Arabidopsis thaliana: one gene and its partners. The protein of the gene in region 1 purifies or fractionates together with the protein of each later gene. This does not show direct contact. Each region holds a gene or a part of one and is shown on either strand. Other genes may lie near its edges. The genes, in order: MURE, TRX z, FLN2 and SWI3B.

Region 1 (5,855 bases):
AAGCGAGAGAGAGAGAAGAGTGAAACACGGAAGAGATTAAAATAGTTTAAATAAATAAAAATAAATAGGGAGATATTCTTAGAAAATATATTGGGAATATTTTAATTTTATCTGATATCATTGTTGGATCTGTGGAAAGTGACGTAAGCGAGAAGGAAGTAGAGTGAAGGAACTTTGAAAACGACGGCGTTAGGTCGAGCTATTGGACCGGGTTTTGGCGTTTCTTCTGATTCAACCGGTTTAGCTAAACTGGTTCTGGATCTATCACAATCTTGTCGAAATTTGTATTAAACAAAACGATTAATGAATTGACGTTTGTTGCGACATTTAGGACAATTTCCTCGGACATAACATGTTTTCTATCTCTAAGCAAATTATTATTTATTTGGTTTTATATTTTGATTAGATTGGTTTTGGTGGAGTGGTCCCAAAAATACGAATGGATATTGGGAAATCTTTTAATTTATAACCAGAATATAAAATTCAAAGTATGCTTAATAGTTTCAAAAGACTATATTCCCTAGCACCATTGCCAAACATTCGTAATTTATGTTCTTGTCACAATATATCACAAGGCCTAATCTTATTATTGTTCAATCATGTCTTCCTACTTTCTCAATTTTTCATATTAAGAAATTGAAACCGTATTTTCATCGTTTTCTTTTTTCTTTGAATTCACTTTTTTCAAGTTTGGATACATGTAAGAAAATAAATAATTTAAACCGGAATCTATTTTTGTTGGTTCGGTTTGAATTGGTTCATCTAAATTAAACACATGCTATCAAAACATACCCAAAACAGAACCACTTACATTTTTGGGTTTTTAACCCTTACAAAATTTGTACGCATCTTCTTCCACCTTTAAAATCTTCCTCCTGCGGTAACAATGACAGAAAATCTGAATTAAGTTTAGTCTAATATTACATTTCGATAGCTTAGGTTTCCTCTTGTCCAAAAAAACAGGTGAAGTGAGCAATGGAATAACTTTAAGGTAATGGTGATTGGAACGTTAAGTACCTCCCAGTGGTGTAATCTCTTTTCCTTGGGCATGATTTTTATGTCACTTGTGTAGAATTCATTACCTCTGTGCAAATCGATCTTCGCAAGAGAATTGGACCATGGTGGAAGAAAATCTGGTTTCATGGACTAAGCTAACTTCTCTTCTAATGATTTCACCACAGAGATATTAATGACTCTCTGGTAACCTGCAGAAGCACAGTAATACAAGGAAGAACAGATTAGTGATCGTGAAGCATCTTGACAAGTTTCAGCAACTCTTCACAGATTAGAAACTTTGGTTATCGTTGGTTGTTTTAGCTGTTACGGTTCTACTTACCGCCATGGGAACTCGCTTGTGTCTATTCCAGCTTGGTGAAGCTCATCAACGTATTGTAATGCTTCCCGACATTCCTCTCTGTCATCATAAAACTCTTTCTTTTCACCTTCAAGCTGATACGCTTCATGCCCTTTCCCAGCTACAACCTGCAAAAATCAGTGTCAAGCAAAGCTATTTACCCGAGAACTATATTACTTTGATTGCTCATAAAGGTAAATCCAGCAACTTTGATAACACACTCAGTAAAGTACTGTATAGAGTGTGGGTTTATTTGAATACTTACAACCATATCACCTTCTTCACCCATAGCAACAGCACAACGTACAGCTACACGTCTAATATCGTGAAGGAAGAGTCTATGACCATTTGCCAAAGGCGGATAGTAATCGTGTTCGCCATGTTTCAAATACTCTTGCATCGTCCATCCAATCCCAGACAACATGTCATCCAAGATGTCCACTAAAACCACATTGGAAAATTAACTGTTAATATACCTCCAGAAACACTCAAGGGAGATAGACTCAATCTAATTCTTAGAGTTACTTACATGGATCTTCATTCCTCGGATTATCAGATGTCAACATCGTCACATCGCTCTTTTCAGTAGCAATTTTCGTCATAAGCGGTCTTTTCCCTCTTTCATTCTCACCCTCACAACCAATAACTTCAATAAATAAATAAAACAACTAAAATAATCAGATGACCACACATATAAAGACCATAGGAACGGCCGAACAGGCAAAGAGTATCTATTAGATGGAAGAAAATATCTATACCGGTAATGATTCTTCTCGGTTTAAGCTCTCGAATTGAATCTAGCAGCCTTGACAAGCCATCAGGTGTGTTTGCATGATCCACAATAACACCAAAAGCTTGTTCCTCATCAATCAACTCACACCTTCCTGGGACTGCATCGACTTCCTCAACACCTCTAACAATATCCTCAAGAGGAGCTCCAACAGCAATCCCAACAGCCACAGCAGCAAGAATATTATAAATGTTATGCCGTCCTAACAAACCCGAAGAGATCTCCAGTATACCTTGAGGGGTATTAACCAAAACCTGTGTCTCAAACAAGGAAAGCTCAAACTTTAACGGGTGAACATCGGCTTTGGTGTTTTCCATGGCAAATGTCACAACAGGAACATTAGGATTCCCTTGCTGGACAAAGAATGCTGCGTTTGGATCATCTATGTTAACCACTTTCCTATGCCTTTCCGGATCAACCATTCTTGAAAACAACTTGGCTTCAGCATCTCTATACTCTTCATCAGTACCACGAAAATCCGTATTTTCTCTAGTCAAATTTGTGAAAACCGCAATGTCGAAATCCACTTCATCACATTTCCCTAAAGCAAGTTCTTGAGGAGAAGCTTCCATAACCAAAGATTCAGTTCCATTATGCAACATCTTAGCCATCAAACTCTGAACCAAAACAGCATCAGGATTCATCGTAGCATTAGGCGTATCCAATTTGTTATCGCCATGAATATAACAAGAAACTGTGCTAAACATTCCTGTTCTCACACCCATCGCTTCATAGAGGCTCTTAATCAAATACGTAGTAGTCGTTTTCCCATCCGTACCAGTAACTCCAATCACCGACATGTTCTTCGAGGGATGCCTATAAAAGGAAGAAGCTAAAGCTGCTAAAACTGCATTCGTATCTTCAACAATGACAAGTGCTCTGCAACCTAAAGTATCTTCAATATCAATCTCTTTGCTAGCTACAACCGCCACTGCTCCTCTCTTATCTGCTTCACTCAAGAAATTTTCACTTCCTAAACAACACACGAAGAGATCTCCGGCGCTCACACCGCGCGAATCATGTTGAATCCCGGTGATTTCGACATCTAAATCGCCGTAAACTGAGATTGGTACCACTTTACTCTCATCTAAAAGCTCAGCTAAGCACATTTTGAACTTAGGTTCCACGATTCTCGCTTTAGATTCACCAAAATCATCCAAATCGAATTCAAATTGATGATCAGACCCAAACTCCTTCTTCTTGTTGATCCTAGTGTTACCTTCCTCATCAACCCAATCTTCTTCATCAGAAATCTCTGTTAATCCAGTTAATTTATCAATTTCATCCAAATCAACAACTTCTTCTTCATCAAGCTCATCAACATCGTCAGTAACATCACCTTCTTCCTCATTTCCCTCCTCCCCAATCTTCTTAAGCGATGCCGTTTTGGGAGGATTAGGTTTGAGCAATCCTTGCTTAACAAACTCACTACGTTTCATGGAGATTGCTCTATCGATATCAGAGAACAAGTCTCCACCAGATTCTTCGTCATCTCGTCCCGTCTCCGCCGCGTCTTCCACATCGGCGATAGCGGAGAGATAAGTGTTCCGATTCTTCTCGAAATCTTCTTCCTCTAGCTTCCGTGCACGAGCAGCTTGACGCTGGATCTGCTGAAACTTCGAAACTCCGTGCATTGAATCCTCCGGTGCTTCAGGTGGATCGTCATCAGCAGGGTTCGGGTACGAATTCCGGCGAGCAGGTCCCGCCGCAACCGTGAGAGTACGGGAATTTCGAGAGAATGGTAAGAGAACTGGTTTGTAGGAGAAGGAAGAGGTTGTTCCAGTTAGAGAGAGAAAGACTGGGTGAGGAGAGAGAAAGGTGAACGCCATTGGAGACAGAGAGACTGAGAAAGCAAGCAGTGAAAGGTTTTTTCCAGGGGATAAGAGTTGGGTTTTTTCATTTTTGGGTTACAAACGATGCGTTTAAAGAAATCAAAGACGCCGATAAAACGGTGCAGTGTGTACTAAAAACGATTAAAAGATATGTACAGGAGAAACTCTATAAATTAATAATGATTGGACTATAAATTTTTATTAATTTATAATAATATTAATTTATTTTATAAATTAATAAATAGTAATTAATAGAATATTAACGTAAAACACAATACTAAATTATTTTAAAAATGCTTTTCCGATTTAGTATTTTTCTCATATTTTGTTATTTGTATATTCAATTATGTTAGATCTTTAATTTTATTTTTGATATTTTAAATTTATTTTTCTGCAAGATATAGTGTCTCTATATCTACGACGTTAACGTGGAGGTTAAATCAATTTTTCTTTACAAAAATCTTAGCAATGGTTTTTCATAGAAAAAATGTTACAAAACCAAATATGACGGATCAAATACGCAAAGAATTATGTGAGTATAAAAGAGATCATACCAACTCTATTCTAAAAAGAGTTGCAATTGTAGCTTGAATAAAAGTTTCATATAAAATTAGTCTTAGAATGTATGCTTAAGATTTATGATTATTAATTTATGATATTATTGGGACTATATTTTTACATAGGGGTTTCAAAAAATTATTATTTTATTATCTTATCGATTTTCGTTAATTTTTACATTGGCCCGACTTCGACCGGCAAAATTTATTAATTTATCGTGTTTATTAATTTATCGAGTATTAATTTATAGGGTTTCTAATGTATATTACAAAGTGTGTAGTGAAAGGATGGGCTTCTAAGGCAGTCTCATGGCCCATAATATTAGCCCACTATCTTTTTTTCGTTACAGAGAAATATTTTTGTTTGATGAGTAGACAAAATTGCTTAATGATTGCTAATTTGCTATGTTGTTGCAGAGAACCAAACAAACGTTTTATTTGAATTGTTTATAGAAGAAAAAGATTGATGGCTCTTGGTTTTCTGACATAAGAGGTTGATTTTATTTCTTGATTTTGTAAAAAGCTAATGGTTTTATCTATAGTTGGCCGAAGTTTAGATTCTAATTGGCATTGAGTAACTAAAGTCCAACTTCTAATGTTAGACTTTCTAACGCCCTAGTAGAGAAATGGGTGTAAAAGAGATGGAATTGCATCCAAAATTTCATGATTTTTGATATTATATTATCTGCTATGCATACAAATCTGTCCCGCCATGTACATGATCATTAAGAGCCTAAGTTATATTAAGTTTTTTTGCACTAAAGTCAGTTAGTAGTATAACGTAGTTTTGTATTTGTTTTTCTCTTATTTGGAGAGCCGTATTTTGGTCGTTGATAGAAGACGATAAAACCACATGGCCACTTTAATTTGGAACGTGGACCGACCACCGCCATGTACAGTTGAGTTGGTTTAATACACCCTTTGTGGTCCCTTCGTCTTGGGCCTCACTTCTACACTTTCTTCAGCCCATTTTCATAACACGTGACCTACACATGCTATAATGTACATGATTTAATTATTTATCTCTTAATTGTGTTTTCTTTAAAAAAGAAGAAGATATAATTCTCTTTATTTTCTCTTGATCTTATGAAAAAAAATGTATGGAAAACTTGATAGACATTCATCATTTATAATGTAACACTTCACACTGGATATTTTAACAAATACAACTACGCTTTATCGTTCTCACTATGAAATATATCATCTTATAAGCTCTTTTTTTTTACTCTTATTTTGGATCTTTTGGACGCTTATCAGTGTCCCTTGACAATTTTTGGACAATCACATATACTATCTTTGGAAATGTAAATAGAACCTTAGTG
Region 2 (4,349 bases), on another chromosome or scaffold:
TGTCGAAGTTAGTGATATACCATGCATATCATCTAATCCAAGACTGGTAATTGCGATGAGGTGTTGTTCAAATGTATGGCACCCTGTTGCTATTATTCATATCCAACATTTTATGTGAAAAATGGGAGTATTGAATGCTTATCATGAGATTCTCCCTCTGTTGCCACTCTGTCCATATTAGCAGATAGGATGCAGTGCCTTTTTTGCTATATATTGCTTGTGTTTGAGTTTTGTTACAATTAATTCTTGTTTTAAAGTTTAAACCAACAACATGCACAAATTTTTTGCTTGGTGAAATTTGGTTTTTCATGAGTTTAGCAAAGGTGATTTTTCTATATCTGAAATAGTTTACATCGTTTTACTTGGAAATCTGATTTTACTTCTTCTCCAGTGCGTGATCAATAGTGGTGCTCTACCTTGTCTTGCCAACCTGCTCACTCAAAACCATAAGAAAAGCATAAAGAAGGAAGCTTGCTGGACGATTTCAAACATCACAGCAGGCAACAAAGATCAGATCCAGGTAGGCAATTAGTACTGTTTCATCATATGTTTTGTACCGTTTCCCATCCAGACTTCTATACCTATTCATTAATTGTGTTGTTTTTCCCCTGATGGTTGCAGACGGTAGTTGAGGCTAATTTGATTTCCCCGTTGGTGAGTCTGCTTCAAAATGCTGAATTTGACATTAAGAAGGAAGCTGCATGGGCAATTTCAAATGCAACTTCAGGTGGTTCTCATGATCAAATAAAGTATGTCACTGTCTTTTTTGCGTTCCTCTAACTTCCAGTTTCTTCTCTCATATATATACTTTGTGTATATATATATTGATGTTCTGTTCCCGTTGGTTATACAGATACCTGGTGGAGCAAGGGTGCATAAAACCATTATGCGATCTCCTGGTTTGCCCAGATCCAAGAATCATAACTGTCTGCCTTGAAGGATTGGAAAACATTTTGAAGGTGGGAGAGGCAGAGAAGAACTTGGGTCACACAGGAGACATGAACTATTACGCTCAGCTGATTGATGATGCAGAAGGGCTAGAAAAGATCGAGAACCTTCAGAGCCATGACAACAATGAGATCTATGAGAAGGCTGTTAAAATTCTGGAGACATACTGGCTTGAAGAGGAAGATGATGAGACACAGCAACCTCCAGGTGTTGATGGTTCTCAGGCTGGGTTCCAGTTTGGAGGGAATCAAGCTCCAGTACCATCCGGAGGATTCAACTTCAGCTGAAGGTAAATAAAAGTAAAAATTCTTAAATTTCTAACAACGTCTCTTGATGAAAACATGCAAAATCTGATATTTAGATCAATATAAACCCACAGGAATGGAATTGGAAGCTTGCAACTTGAGAATGGTGAAAGGTCAGAGTCAGTCAGAGTCTAGTTTCACTGCCATGGTTATACTCCAGGTCTGGTCTGGTCTGGTCTCAGAGGTTTGTACCGGGTGGTCGGTTTAAAAGTACAGCGTCTGAGAAAGTGTTTGGTTCATTGTCCAGGGCTATTTTTTTGAAATGACTGGTACACCGGTCGTGAGTCGACCTTTGTGTTGTTTTTAAATTTTGGAGGGTTATAAAAACTTACAGTGGAGTCTTTTGTTTTTGTGTTGACAACAGTTTGTATGTCGGTTAAAAAATTGAAACCATAAACCCTTTATTGGTCTTAATATGTTTGGTGTCTGATTTCCTAAGGAAAGGTTTTTTTTTTTTTGGTCAAACCTAAGGAAGGGTTTATCTTCGAGTTATAAAGACTCGAATCTTTATTTGAATTATGAAGTAAAGTATACATAAAACAGCAATAAATTATTATGAATTTGACTTTACCTGAGCAAGTAAATTGTAAAAAGACAAGAACTAATGAACTATTAGTATATGTCCAGTTCAATTGCCTTATCGTCTAAAACCCCTCAAAAGCTAAAACTGAAATCATTTTGAAGCAGAAATCGATTTCCAAAATGGCTCTTGTTCAATCCAGAACTTTTCCACACCTCAACACTCCGTTATCGCCGATTCTATCCTCCCTCCATGCTCCGTCTTCTCTCTTTATCCGGAGGGAAATCCGACCGGTAGCCGCGCCGTTCTCCTCCTCCACCGCCGGAAACTTGCCCTTCTCGCCGTTGACGCGTCCGCGAAAGCTTCTCTGTCCTCCGCCTCGCGGCAAGTTTGTCAGAGAAGATTATCTTGTGGTACGGACAATTTCTCGCTTTCTCTCACGCTCCAAACAACATATTTTGTCGATTTCAAAAAATTTCATGTTTGTTTTCGTTTTACGACTTCCTTTTTCGCCTTTCTGGGAAATTAAGTTGGCTGGGCATAGATGTAGTTATTATATAAGAACGATATATGGTAGTTCTATCAAAGATTCGACCAGTACACTGTTAAATACTTCAGAATAGAGATTTGCTTAATTTGAATCTTATGAATGACTCTTGTTGATACCATCATGTGGAAGCCTCACTGATTTCTGGATGTTTTTTGTTCCTTTTCTTATGGTTTGACAGAAGAAATTGTCAGCTCAAGAACTTCAGGAACTGGTGAAAGGAGATAGGAAGGTGCCGTTGATTGTTGATTTTTATGCGACATGGTGTGGACCTTGTATCTTGATGGCCCAGGAACTAGAAATGGTACCATGGATTCTCATAACTCAACTTTCTTACACATTCTCCATTTCACTTGCTTCATGTGTAGACTCTAGAATGCTTATATATTTCCAAACGTTGGCTCTTGGAACCCGGTTGTTCGTTATAATATACTTGAATCTTGAAATGTGATGGTATATTACTGTTAAGTCTAGTGCAGTACTATTGTAACTTGCATAGGAGTTGGGCAGTGCATTATAGCTTTGGTAGCTCATCAACAAATCTTTACAGTTTACTGAGATCTTAATGTTTAAAGAGGGGCTATGAAAATGTATTGGGGGCACTCTGGATTTGTCTTGGGTCTTGGTTTGGCAATTGACTAGAGTTGAAAGACCGCTCTCATTAATCAAGTCTCTTCTATGGTTTAGTTCTTTTGGTGAATTAGATAAAGGAGTTAAACAGTTCCAATCTTACGACTGTTTCTCCCATACTTTATGACAAAGATACCTTGTCGCGTAGTTGGCATGTCTACAAATTCAAAAGAAATGTGTGAGATAGGAGAATCTAAGCATCTTCTTATTGATTGGCTTTATCTACTTGCTTTTTCACTCATGACACTCGTGTTAAATAGTTTTTGCTCATTGTGAAACAGCTTGCAGTAGAGTATGAGAGCAATGCAATAATCGTGAAAGTTGATACAGATGATGAGTACGAGTTTGCACGCGACATGCAGGTATACTGTAACTTGCAGCTTATGTTTTTAAATTTCATGAATCTCCTCTCAGCATATCAATGTAAATTCTTACATTAACCAACTCTTGTGATACAGGTTCGAGGGTTACCTACATTATTCTTCATCAGTCCTGACCCAAGCAAAGATGCAATCAGGACAGAAGGGCTAATTCCGTTACAGATGATGCACGATATCATTGACAACGAGATGTGAAGTTTTTACTGAGAAAACACTTTTGTACTCTTTATGATTTGATTAGAATCGCCGTAATTTAGGATTGGTACCGTGTTGTTTGCATTTGAGATGTGGTAAGAATGTCTTCTAGTTTCATAGATGAAGAATGTAGTCTTAAGACATTTGTTTGTATGCAGTGTTCGTTTCAATACCTAAGTGAAAAGGTTAGAGCTGTTGATCTGGTCGGATCCAAGTTATGTGGCACATCAAATTCACGATCCGGTCCATGTAATAACACTGTAGCTTAAACTTGGAAGAGAGAGATATGACGTCATTAAAGACTTTTTCCCCATTTCTTGGTTGACATTAAACCGGGACGAAAGTATTATTAAACACCATTATTAGGAAAAACACGACGCCATTCGAAATGGCGCCCAAATTATGCGAAAATTTTCCTACAGGGTTATGTGCGATATTTGGCGGGTGGCTCTAGCCTGATATTAGAGGACGTAAACAGGGGTAATTTCGTCTTTTAAAGCAATAAATTAAAGCTAGGGTTTAGCCGAACCAATTTCATTTATAATTGGCCATTTGGTTTAGTTTTTGTGAGGTATCTGTTGGGTCGTTTCTTTGAAATCAAAAAAAAAAAATCTCTGTTTCTCTGACACTCTCTCTCTCTGTTTCTACTTTCAAGATTCAAATTTTTGTTCCCCTGATCCACTCGTCTTTGAATTCTCATCAAGTCTTATATGTTTCTTGCCTACTCTGATCTCTATCGGAAACCCTAGATCCATATCTTCTTGACTTGACACTAGTTCACGAATCACGATCTGCGGTTCCTGAAGCTGGTAATGCTAGATCCC
Region 3 (4,798 bases), 2.4 Mb from region 1:
ACGCTTGGAAAATTCCACCTGAATGCATTGAGAGTGAATGCCAATATGCAACTATTTTATCATTATCAATATCTTCCGTTCCAAGCAAATCTACCAAAGGTGCTAAAACAAATGGTCTTTCCCAGATTCTCTCATGGGGAATGATAAGTTTATCAGAAATTATCTTGTGCTTTCCATAGAACAATATGTCCAAGTCAAGTGGTCTTGGTCCATACCTTAAACCATTTTCTTCACGACCCATCTCTTTCTCAATTTTCTTGAGAACGTTCAAGAGTTCATGAGGTTTGAGCTTTGTGACACCTCTTATTGCAGCGTTGAGAAATCTTGGTTGGTCGGTCACATGAACAGGTTCTGTTTCGTACAAACAACTGTGTCTGGTTACACTGATCCCATAGTCTTTCATCAATCGTAAAGCTTCTTTGAAATTATTCATTCTGTTTCCAACATTGCTTCCCAAAGCTATCACGACTTCTTCGAAAGTTGTTGTTTCCAAAGATGTGAAATCTGAGTCATATACAAAACATGTTTCGAAGGTGAAATATGATTCAATACTTAACAGAAATTAGTGTATCAAAACGTAAACGCTGTTTTTTTCAACGAAAATGAAACGGATGAAAAAGATACGAACCCATTTTAGAATAGGTTCCTCCAAAATATCAGTATTGTCTGCTTCGATCTGACCTTAAAGTATACAAAACTATGAGTTTAGTCTTAGATAACAACGAAACAATTATTAGAAACACAAAAAATGGGTTCTAATATTTTAAGAACCAAGGAAGTAAACAATACTTATGTATGAGAGAGGCAAGGTGGTAGCCAATTTTCACCTACTTTTTTTCTGAACTTGTTGTGTTATCCAAGTACCTTCTGTCTTTCACGCTCGTCAAAAGTCAGCTTCTCTTTTGAATTAGATATGAAGATCTAGAAAAGAAAAGAAAAAAGAGAAGAAAACTTTGTTTTTAGAGAGATTTTGAAATTGGTAATGAATCTCTCATAATTTTGAAATTGGTAGTGAATCTCTCATAATTCTTTTCATTATCTATTCTATCTTTTACCATTTAAACATATATTTGGATAGATGATGGAAAATTGTGTGTTAGTCTCCAGCTATTTCATTCCATTTTTAAAAAATATCAAAATTTTCATAGATTTGTTCTGACTACATCAATTTTCTTTCATTCCACTCAAGGCACTCATGGTTACATTACCAATAGAAATTAATTAACCATACAAAATTCTAATTATTATAACTCCAGACGATATTATTTTCACTATATAGCAAAAAATAGCCGTTTTACCATAACATATATACAGTCTATATTTTTTGACGAAAAATAAATAAATATACAGTATATATATATATATATATCCTCGTGTTAGAATTGTATTAAGTTTTTCATCACACCATCTTTAGGCATTATTTCTATGCCAATCAAATCATTTACTCGTAAATCATCATAGTAATTATGATTTCAGTTAATCGTAAGTTTTTTGTAGCTTTGTGATGATGAGCCAATTAACTTCACAACAAAATATTTTCCTTGAAGTAGTTTTTTAATAGCAAACGATTTCACGAAAAACTTTACATAACAAATATTTCTACCTACATTAAAAGAATGTCATATAGACAATACTAAATTCACTAGCTTTAAAGAAGAAAAATGAGCCGTAAATAAATTATAGTAGACAGAATAGGGACATCTTGACGTTTTAGTATTTTGATCATAGAATGCTTGCCGTTTCGTTAAAGCGCTAAACCTCCTCCTCATCCTCTCCCAGCTAGCTCCTCTTGCGGTTTCAGAGCTTAAACCCCAATCTCCCTCAAAACTCATAAACATATTGCTCTCCTTTGTTCATTTCTGGGTTTACGCTTCTTTCGACTTTATGGGTTTCGGAGCTTAGTTTTACTACAATTTCGTTTGGAAAAGAGCTCTTATTTGATGTTCATGGCGTCTCTCTCCTTCACCCAATTCTTATCATTCCCCAGGTCCCTTTGCTTCTCTCTCTCTCTTGTTTTCTAACCTTAGGAAATTTTAGTATATGGGTTTCTATGGATTTGGCGTAGAACCAGTTTACTGCCCAAAAATGTGCGAACTTTAAGTTTAGCTCATCTTATCTTTCTACAGAAGAATGGAGTAACAATGATTTGAATTGAGGGCTATATTTGTCTTTCTGTTTGAAAATTTCACATTTTGATGTAATGGTTTTCTCATAGCTGTGCTTTGATTTTGGCAGATGCAATGCAGATGTTCCTTGTCTGCTCCAGTCGCATGGTTTTGTGAAGTTTAGAGGTGAAAGATGGAATGGGAAACAAAGCTTTTCTATGGCTGCTGGTAGGAGAAAGTTATCAGAGTCAGCACCTCTTGAAGAAGAAGGTAATGATGGAAACGGTGCGGTTGTGGGAAAGAAACCATCTAAAAGTGTTAAGAGAACAACGAAGAAGAAGGTTGTGGTTAAGGATGAACCATTAGAAGAAATTTCTGAATTTTTGGTTGATAATGATGATGTTTTAGACAAGGAAAGCATTGTCTCAGCTTTGAAACCAAAAAAGACAAGAACTAGAAAGAAAGGTAATGACTTTTACCATTTCTGAGCTGATGGTTCTCACTTGATGATTCACGAGTACTTAATTTGAATTCGACATATATACAGCTGCAGCAGCTTCTTCTGATGTGGAGGAAGTAAAAACCGAGAAGAAAGTGAGACGAAAGAGGACTGTTAAGAAAGATAAAGATGTGGAGGATGATTTAGCTACTATTATGGATGCTGAGGTTAGTGATGTCGAGGAAGCATTGGCTGTTGAAAGCACTGATACAGAGAGTGAAGAAGAAGAGATTGATCTGAGTAAACATGAAGGTGAAGATATTAGTCACACTTATGGATGGCCTCCTCTCGTGTGTTGCTTTGGATCTGCACAACATGCTTTTGTGCCTTCGGGAAGGCCAGCAAACAGGCTATTAGATTATGAACTACACGAACGGATGAGAGATGCAAAGTGGGCTCCAGAGAAGTATATCCGGGCTCCTGGAGGATGTGCAGGAGGTGTTGCTATTGCTCTTGCAAGCTTGGGTGGTAAGGTTGCTTTTATGGGCAAACTTGGGGCTGATGACTATGGTCAAGCCATGTTGTATTATCTGAATGTGTGCAAAGTCCAAACTAGATCAGTTAAGATTGATGGTAAAAGGGTTACGGCGTGTTCTACTATGAAGATCAGCAAGAGAGGTCGCTTGAAATCGACTTGTATTAAGCCATGTGCAGAGGATTCACTTTCAAAATCTGAAATCAACGTTGATGTGCTCAAAGAGGTAATATATTGTCCTGGAGATTTGGAACATTGAGTTTTTGGCTCTTTTTCTTGTTCACCAATCTCTTAACTTTGGTGCAGGCGAAAATGTTCTACTTCAGCACGCATTCTCTACTCGATAAGAAGATGATGTCAACTACGATACAAGCCATCAAGATATCAAAGCAACTAGGCAATGTCATTTTTTATGACTTGAATCTCCCTTTACCACTATGGCACTCCAGCGAAGAAACCAAGTCTTTCATACAGGAAGTGTGGAATCTTGCAGACGTCATTGAAATCACAAAACAGGAACTTGAATTCTTATGCGGAATCGAGCCTACTGAAGAGTTCGATACAGAAAACAATGACATCAGTAAGTTTGTCCATTACCCGCCAGAAACTGTGGAACAGCTTTGGCATGAAAATCTCAAGGTCTTGTTTGTGACCAATGGCACTTCTAAGATCCATTACTATACCAAAGAGCACAATGGTGCTGTTTCCGGAATGGAGGATGTTCCCATTACTCCTTTTACAAGGGATATGTCAGCATCTGGAGATGGCATCGTTGCAGGTACATTTTCACTTGTGTCATTTGTTTTTCATAGCAATTTGGAAGTTATGCTTGCGATTAACTGAACCACACTACTCTCTATTTCAGGTCTAATAAGAATGCTTACGGTTCAGCCAGATCTTATGAACAATAAAGGGTACCTGGAACGCACAGCGAGATATGCAATTGAGTGTGGTATTATTGATCAATGGTTGCTGGCACAAACCCGAGGATATCCTCCAAAGGATGACATGGAAGAAGAAGAAGATGATGAAGAAGAAGATGAAGTGGAATCAGATCCAAACGGTATAAGATCGATAACAGAGAAGGAATACAGAACCTCAAAGCCTTATGATGAACCAGATGGTCCATACGTTATGAAACCAGTAGAGGAAAGGGAGTACAAGAAGTTAGAGCTTGTTGGCTCAATGTTTGAAGATGGTAGTTTATGATTTTCATAAGATTTGATAATGTTTCTGTTAGTCAGCTTTTTTTTCCTGTTCACATCTTACAACATCTTAGTAGTGTGAATTTTTGTCATATGTTTTGATATCTCACTCACCATCTCAACTAATACAAAATCACTTGAAATTATCCGGAAACAGCAATGTGAAACTGCAGTGACGATGAACTTACTTTAATAGCAACTCTACTTCTACGTCTACTTAACTAATCCAAGTAGAGATTTATCTTCTTGTGATCTGCGAAAGGCAGTGTGATTCTCAAGTCCTTTTGTTTCCGGCTTAACGGTCTGCCTTTGCTTTCGGGATCTCTGTTCTCCCTTACATCTGCTAATTTCCAGACACAGTTATCTGATTCTGCATCTATAGACTCCAAGAGGAACACTCCACTCTTTACTGCTTTCCTCGAGTTTGTTTCTTCTACATAGCTTACTGTCATTGGCATATCCTTGAATCGGGGCAAGTCCTCTGGGACTCTCAGTAGCCTCTCCGCTCCTGGAG
Region 4 (4,947 bases), on another chromosome or scaffold:
TATCTCTCCCTCTGTAAATTGTCAACCTTTATTCTCTCGCATTTCTAGTTCATCGAATTTTTGTAGCTCAGCCTGGTCAAAATTGATTCTTTCGTCTACTTTCTAAGGTTTTCTATTCCCAATTCTTTTTGTAGCTCCGATGTTTCTGTCTACAGACAGAAGATTAAGCCTTTTGAGTTTGTCTATTGTTCTGATGAAGAGTTTCGCATGGTTCTTGTTATAGGTAATGAAAAGTATGCTCATTTGAAGAAGCTTGATAAAGCTGGTGACAAACTCAAGCTCTTCAAGGCTGATTTGCTCAACTACGGCTCTCTTCAATCTGCTATTGCTGGCTGCAGCGGCGTCTTCCATGTCGCTTGCCCTGTTCCATCTGCTTCAGTCCCTAATCCTGAGGTGAGGATTTCATTTTTACAATCTCATTGGTGGCTATATGCATTGTCTCACTATGGTTTCACTGGTTTTGCAGGTAGATTTGATCGCACCTGCAGTGGATGGTACGCTGAATGTGCTTAAGGCATGCGTTGAAGCAAAAGTTAAGCGTGTTGTGTATGTTTCCTCTGTATCTGCAGTTGCTATGAACCCTATGTGGTCAAAGAGTCAAGTGTTAGATGAGACCGCTTGGTCTGACCAAGATTATTGCAAAAAAACTGAGGTTAATAATGCATCTTGAATCCCTCATCTCACTTTTTTTTCTTCTTTTAAATCTGACTTTCGTCCCTCTGGCAGAATTGGTATTCTTTGTCAAAGACACGAGCAGAAAGTGAAGCTTTCGAATTTGCAAAACGAACCGGACTTGATCTCGTCAGTGTTTGCCCTACCCTTGTCTTGGGACCTGTATTGCAGCAGCACACAGTAAATGCTAGTAGCCTTGTTCTTCTCAAGCTTCTTAAAGGTATTATAAACAAGCCTCTCATTTCATCTGGGATTGTTAGAAGCAGCAACTTGGTATATGAGTTGGTATTGATTTTATACTTAAGTGTGGTGCAGAGGGTTATGAATCGCGTAATAACCAAGAACGGCATTTGGTAGATGTGCGTGATGTGGCTCAAGCTTTACTTTTGGTTTATGAGAAAGCAGAAGCTGAAGGAAGGTACATCTGCATAGGCCACACGGTTAGGGAACAAGAAGTCGCTGAGAAGCTGAAAAGTCTTTATCTAAATTACAACTACCCAAAGAGGTAAGCAAACAACAGCTGCACATCTCTCTACCCAATTTGAGTGAAAACCTTTAAACCTTAATAAGCTGTTTTTGTTACTTTCATCAGTAAACAGTGTCACTTACCTTTACATCAATGTCTCTGAAGTTTCTTTTAGACCTTACCTTTGATCTAAATTCTACTTATCCAATATCAGATACATCGAAGCGGATGGAAAAGTGAAGGTGAGTTCAGAGAAGTTGCAGAAGTTGGGTTGGACTTACCGGCCGTTGGAGGAAACACTTGTGGATTCTGTTGAGAGCTACCGCAAAGCTAAGCTTGTGGACTGAAAACTGGGAACGAATAGCATATGAGTGTTTTGGGTCCATGTGTTAAGTGTTCCTATCTGCACACGCTCTTTCATCTTTTACTCAAGAATAAGAGTTGTGCAACATATTTTCCATCATGAACTTCTGAGTTTTTGTTACTTTCTTAGACACCATTACTTTTATGACCAATCTACAATTACTCCTTCCATAACTATGTTCCAATATCTCTTTGATACGTTCCAATTTCTACCTACTTACAAAGGATAACTTCACCATTAATACATGAAATCAGTAACGCACAACTTCACCATTCGAATTAACCTCTAAGCCTAGCGTAGCAGATGCACTACATCTTGGCTGACCATGGGACTAAAAAAACATTCGCAATATTTAACAACTAAAGCCAGGTTAATGGACCTGTATTAGGGCCCAAACCAGGCCCGTTTAGATATCCGACTTTTTTTTTAACTTTGCCCATCTCGATAGCTAGATTCTCTTTTCCCTCTTCCTTCTCCGGCGAAGTTGCGTTAGTTAAACAGAGAGTCATGGCCATGAAAGCTCCCGATCCCGGCGGATCTGGGGAAATTCTCCCGAGCACTCCCTCTCTTTCCGAAACTACGTCTGGAGGCGCCGCAGCAGCTTCTAAGTCGGCTCAATTGCCGTCTTCTTCTTCCGATATCGATAATATTCACGTACCTAGCTACTCCAGTAAGTCTGCAACGCCGAGAAAACTTTGATTTATTCTACTTTCTTCACTGTTTCTTACGGATTTTGTACTTGTACCGTCTATTTAACCAATTAGGTTGGTTTTCATGGACCGACATTAACGATTGCGAGGTCCGGTCACTGCCGGAATTTTTCGATTCGAGATCTTCATCCAAAAACCCTAAGTTTTATCTCTACTTGAGGAACTCGATTATTAAGCAGTACAGAGACGACCATCCTCGGAAGATTAGTTTCACTGACGTTCGGAGAACTCTCGTCAGTGATGTTGTCTCTATTCGTCGCGTCTTTGATTTCCTCGATTCATGGGGACTTATCAACTATAATAGCTCCGCCTCTGCTAAGCCGCTCAAGTGGGAAGAAAAAGAGGCCGGAAAATCCGCCGGAGATGCTGCTTCTGAGCCAGCCACAACTGTCAAAGAAACTGCCAAGAGAAACTGCAATGGCTGCAAAGCAATTTGCAGCATAGCTTGTTTCGCCTGTGATAAGGTTTGATTTCATAATTTGTAGCCATAGTAATAATTTCATTCACTGAGTTTGTCACTTAGAATGATTATGTACATTTTTGTTTTCAGTATGACTTGACATTGTGTGCGAGGTGCTATGTTCGTAGTAATTATCGTGTTGGTATTAACTCCTCGGAGTTTAAACGAGTTGAGATTAGTGAGGAGTCAAAGCCAGAGTGGTCTGATAAGGAAATTCTGCTGCTGCTGGAAGCTGTTATGCACTATGGAGATGATTGGAAGAAGGTTGCATCGCATGTTATTGGTAGAACGGAGAAGGATTGTGTTTCTCAGTTTGTCAAGCTTCCGTTTGGGGAACAGTTTGTAAAAGAGTCTGACTCTGAGGATGGTTTAGAGATGTTTGATCAGATCAAGGACTCTGATATTCCTGAATCTGAAGGAATAGATAAAGACGGTTCTTCTCCCAACAAGCGGATCAAATTAACACCTCTTGCAGATGCAAGCAACCCAATAATGGCTCAGGTTAGAAAGACACTACAATTTGAGTAGTTGCGTTCTCTCTCTATGTTAATCTTATTTGTATAAGTCTTCAACATGCGTGGAAATGCTTTTACATTGTTAGGCTACTGAAGAATAGTCCAGTGTCTGCACTAGGCTGTTCCACGACTTGCGTTTTTGTCTCCTTAAAGAACCTAAATCTAGAATACCTTGTGGGGCTTACTTTGAAATCTAGTAATAACAAACCCTAGTTGACATATATAAGGCATTTAAGAATCAAATATGTGTTAGATAATTCTGTACTGTGTTATCACACCTCAATTGTTATGCTTCATTGGCTGTCTCTGAATAAGATTTATCCTATCATGTCCTCTTCAGGCTGCTTTTCTTTCAGCTTTGGCTGGCACAAATGTTGCAGAAGCAGCAGCTCGAGCGGCAGTGAGAGCTTTATCTGATGTAGACTACGAGGCTGACAAAAACGCCAGTAGAGACCCAAATCGACAAGGTATCAAAGACCAAGCTGTCTCTATTTGCAGTCCATTTCTGTCCTAAGCCAAACCCAATAGTGACAGTTTTGTTTTCCTGATACACAGATGCCAATGCTGCATCGAGTGGTGAAACCACTAGAAACGAATCTGAAAGAGCTTGGGCAGATGCAAAGTCTTTAATTGAGAAGGAAGAGCATGAGGTAGAAGGAGCAATCAAAGAGACTGTTGAAGTTGAGGTTAGTAACAATCTGCAACTTTCCATAGACTTTTTATTATATGGTTATACTCAATGATGATTTATGTTGGAACAAACAAAATTTGGGATTAACAGATGAAGAAGATCCGAGATAGGATTGTTCATTTCGAGAAATTGGATTTGGAAATGGAGAGAAGCCGGAAACAATTGGAGGAGGTGAGGAATCTGCTTTTCGTTGATCAATTAAACATTTTCTTCCACACCAGAAAAGCCCGGAAAACTGAAGATAGAATAGAGTGTTAGAACGCACTTAATTTGAAACTGTTATTTCTTATTTGATTCTTGTCTGGTTAAGAAGATGACTTGTATTGTAGTGTACTTGAGATGTGTTGGTAACAAAATGAGATGAGATCGAATTGGTATAAATAAGGCTGGGTTGGTATAAAAGTCAAAACCAAATGGCAACTGCGTCGAAGTATAATTTTTGTCTTTATCAGGCAATCACAAGTGGAAAAGTTTTAAAAATTAATTTTGCTCTTTTGGAAACAATAGAAAATGTCAGGGTTTTGGAGATATCCGATATAAAAGATAGATTTTGTTTTCACTAAATAGGTTAATCTTCAAATGTTGTTAAGTTACCGATGTTTTTTTTGTATCTCCGTAACATGATTACTCTCTTTGTTGCTAAAAGAGTGATGGTTTTTATATTAAGAAACAGTCATTAATTAATCATTTCTGTATTGTTTGTTATATTAAACATTTTCAATAACTATAAACCAATAGCAGTCTAACAAATTTCAATCATTTTATCTTGAACTTTACTAGTTCAGGTTTTTCAGACAAACTAAAAAAACATTGAATTTTCTGTTTTATCTCTAATTAATGTGTTATTTAATATCATATCATCAATTAATCAGCCAAAACAATAAGAATTTCTTTTGGAAAATCTTTCAAAAACATGCATTGAAAATATAAAACGATAACTAATTTAATACAAAATTTAATTTCTAAAACATAACTAATTTAGAAAGGAGTGAGTGATATTTAAAAAAAATAAAGAAAAAACGAAAATGTTTTTTTTGTGGGACAAGTTAAAAGTGGTAGAACATCAATT

What was found.
Region 2: the proteins of MURE (region 1) and TRX z fractionate together in Arabidopsis thaliana (co-fractionation; one large-scale study listed by BioGRID). This does not show direct contact.
Region 3: the proteins of MURE (region 1) and FLN2 fractionate together in Arabidopsis thaliana (co-fractionation; one large-scale study listed by BioGRID). This does not show direct contact.
Region 4: the proteins of MURE (region 1) and SWI3B fractionate together in Arabidopsis thaliana (co-fractionation; one large-scale study listed by BioGRID). This does not show direct contact.

The regions. Positions count from the first base shown.
Region 1 is NC_003070.9:23,612,579-23,618,433, reverse strand, and holds MURE (ALBINO OR PALE-GREEN 13), read right to left. Parts: upstream 4,095-5,855; 5' UTR 3,974-4,094; coding exon 2,113-3,973; intron 2,001-2,112; coding exon 1,884-2,000; intron 1,796-1,883; coding exon 1,620-1,795; intron 1,483-1,619; coding exon 1,337-1,482; intron 1,206-1,336; coding exon 1,187-1,205; 3' UTR 1,018-1,186; exon of another isoform or gene 876-1,017; 3' UTR 522-875; downstream 1-521. UniProt on the Arabidopsis thaliana protein: Involved in chloroplast biogenesis. Required for thylakoid membrane development. Seems to be required for plastid-encoded plastid RNA polymerase (PEP)-dependent gene expression.
Region 2 is NC_003074.8:2,122,321-2,126,669, forward strand, and holds TRX z (Thioredoxin z), read left to right. Parts: upstream 1-1,834; 5' UTR 1,835-1,955; coding exon 1,956-2,186; intron 2,187-2,501; coding exon 2,502-2,624; intron 2,625-3,231; coding exon 3,232-3,312; intron 3,313-3,408; coding exon 3,409-3,525; 3' UTR 3,526-3,836; downstream 3,837-4,349. Other genes in the region: IMPA-1 (importin alpha), read left to right, coding at 392-520, 622-749, 854-1,235; GATA15 (GATA transcription factor 15), read left to right, coding at 4,338-4,349. UniProt on the Arabidopsis thaliana protein: Thiol-disulfide oxidoreductase that plays a role in proper chloroplast development, most likely through regulating plastid-encoded polymerase (PEP) dependent chloroplast transcription.
Region 3 is NC_003070.9:26,014,078-26,018,875, forward strand, and holds FLN2 (fructokinase-like protein), read left to right. Parts: upstream 1-1,946; coding exon 1,947-1,987; intron 1,988-2,235; coding exon 2,236-2,570; intron 2,571-2,652; coding exon 2,653-3,305; intron 3,306-3,385; coding exon 3,386-3,857; intron 3,858-3,944; coding exon 3,945-4,288; downstream 4,289-4,798. Other genes in the region: AT1G69190 (Dihydropterin pyrophosphokinase / Dihydropteroate synthase), read right to left, coding at 1-504, 629-632; AT1G69210 (Uncharacterized protein family UPF0090), read right to left, coding at 4,506-4,798. UniProt on the Arabidopsis thaliana protein: Required for proper chloroplast development, most likely through regulating plastid-encoded polymerase (PEP) dependent chloroplast transcription.
Region 4 is NC_003071.7:14,227,014-14,231,960, forward strand, and holds SWI3B (switch subunit 3), read left to right. Parts: upstream 1-1,958; 5' UTR 1,959-2,009; coding exon 2,010-2,172; intron 2,173-2,266; coding exon 2,267-2,676; intron 2,677-2,762; coding exon 2,763-3,173; intron 3,174-3,527; coding exon 3,528-3,654; intron 3,655-3,742; coding exon 3,743-3,873; intron 3,874-3,968; coding exon 3,969-4,136; 3' UTR 4,137-4,395; downstream 4,396-4,947. Other genes in the region: CRL2 (NAD(P)-binding Rossmann-fold superfamily protein), read left to right, coding at 224-393, 467-652, 727-892, 988-1,177, 1,353-1,485. UniProt on the Arabidopsis thaliana protein: Component of a multiprotein complex equivalent of the SWI/SNF complex, an ATP-dependent chromatin-remodeling complex, which is required for the positive and negative regulation of gene expression of a large number of genes.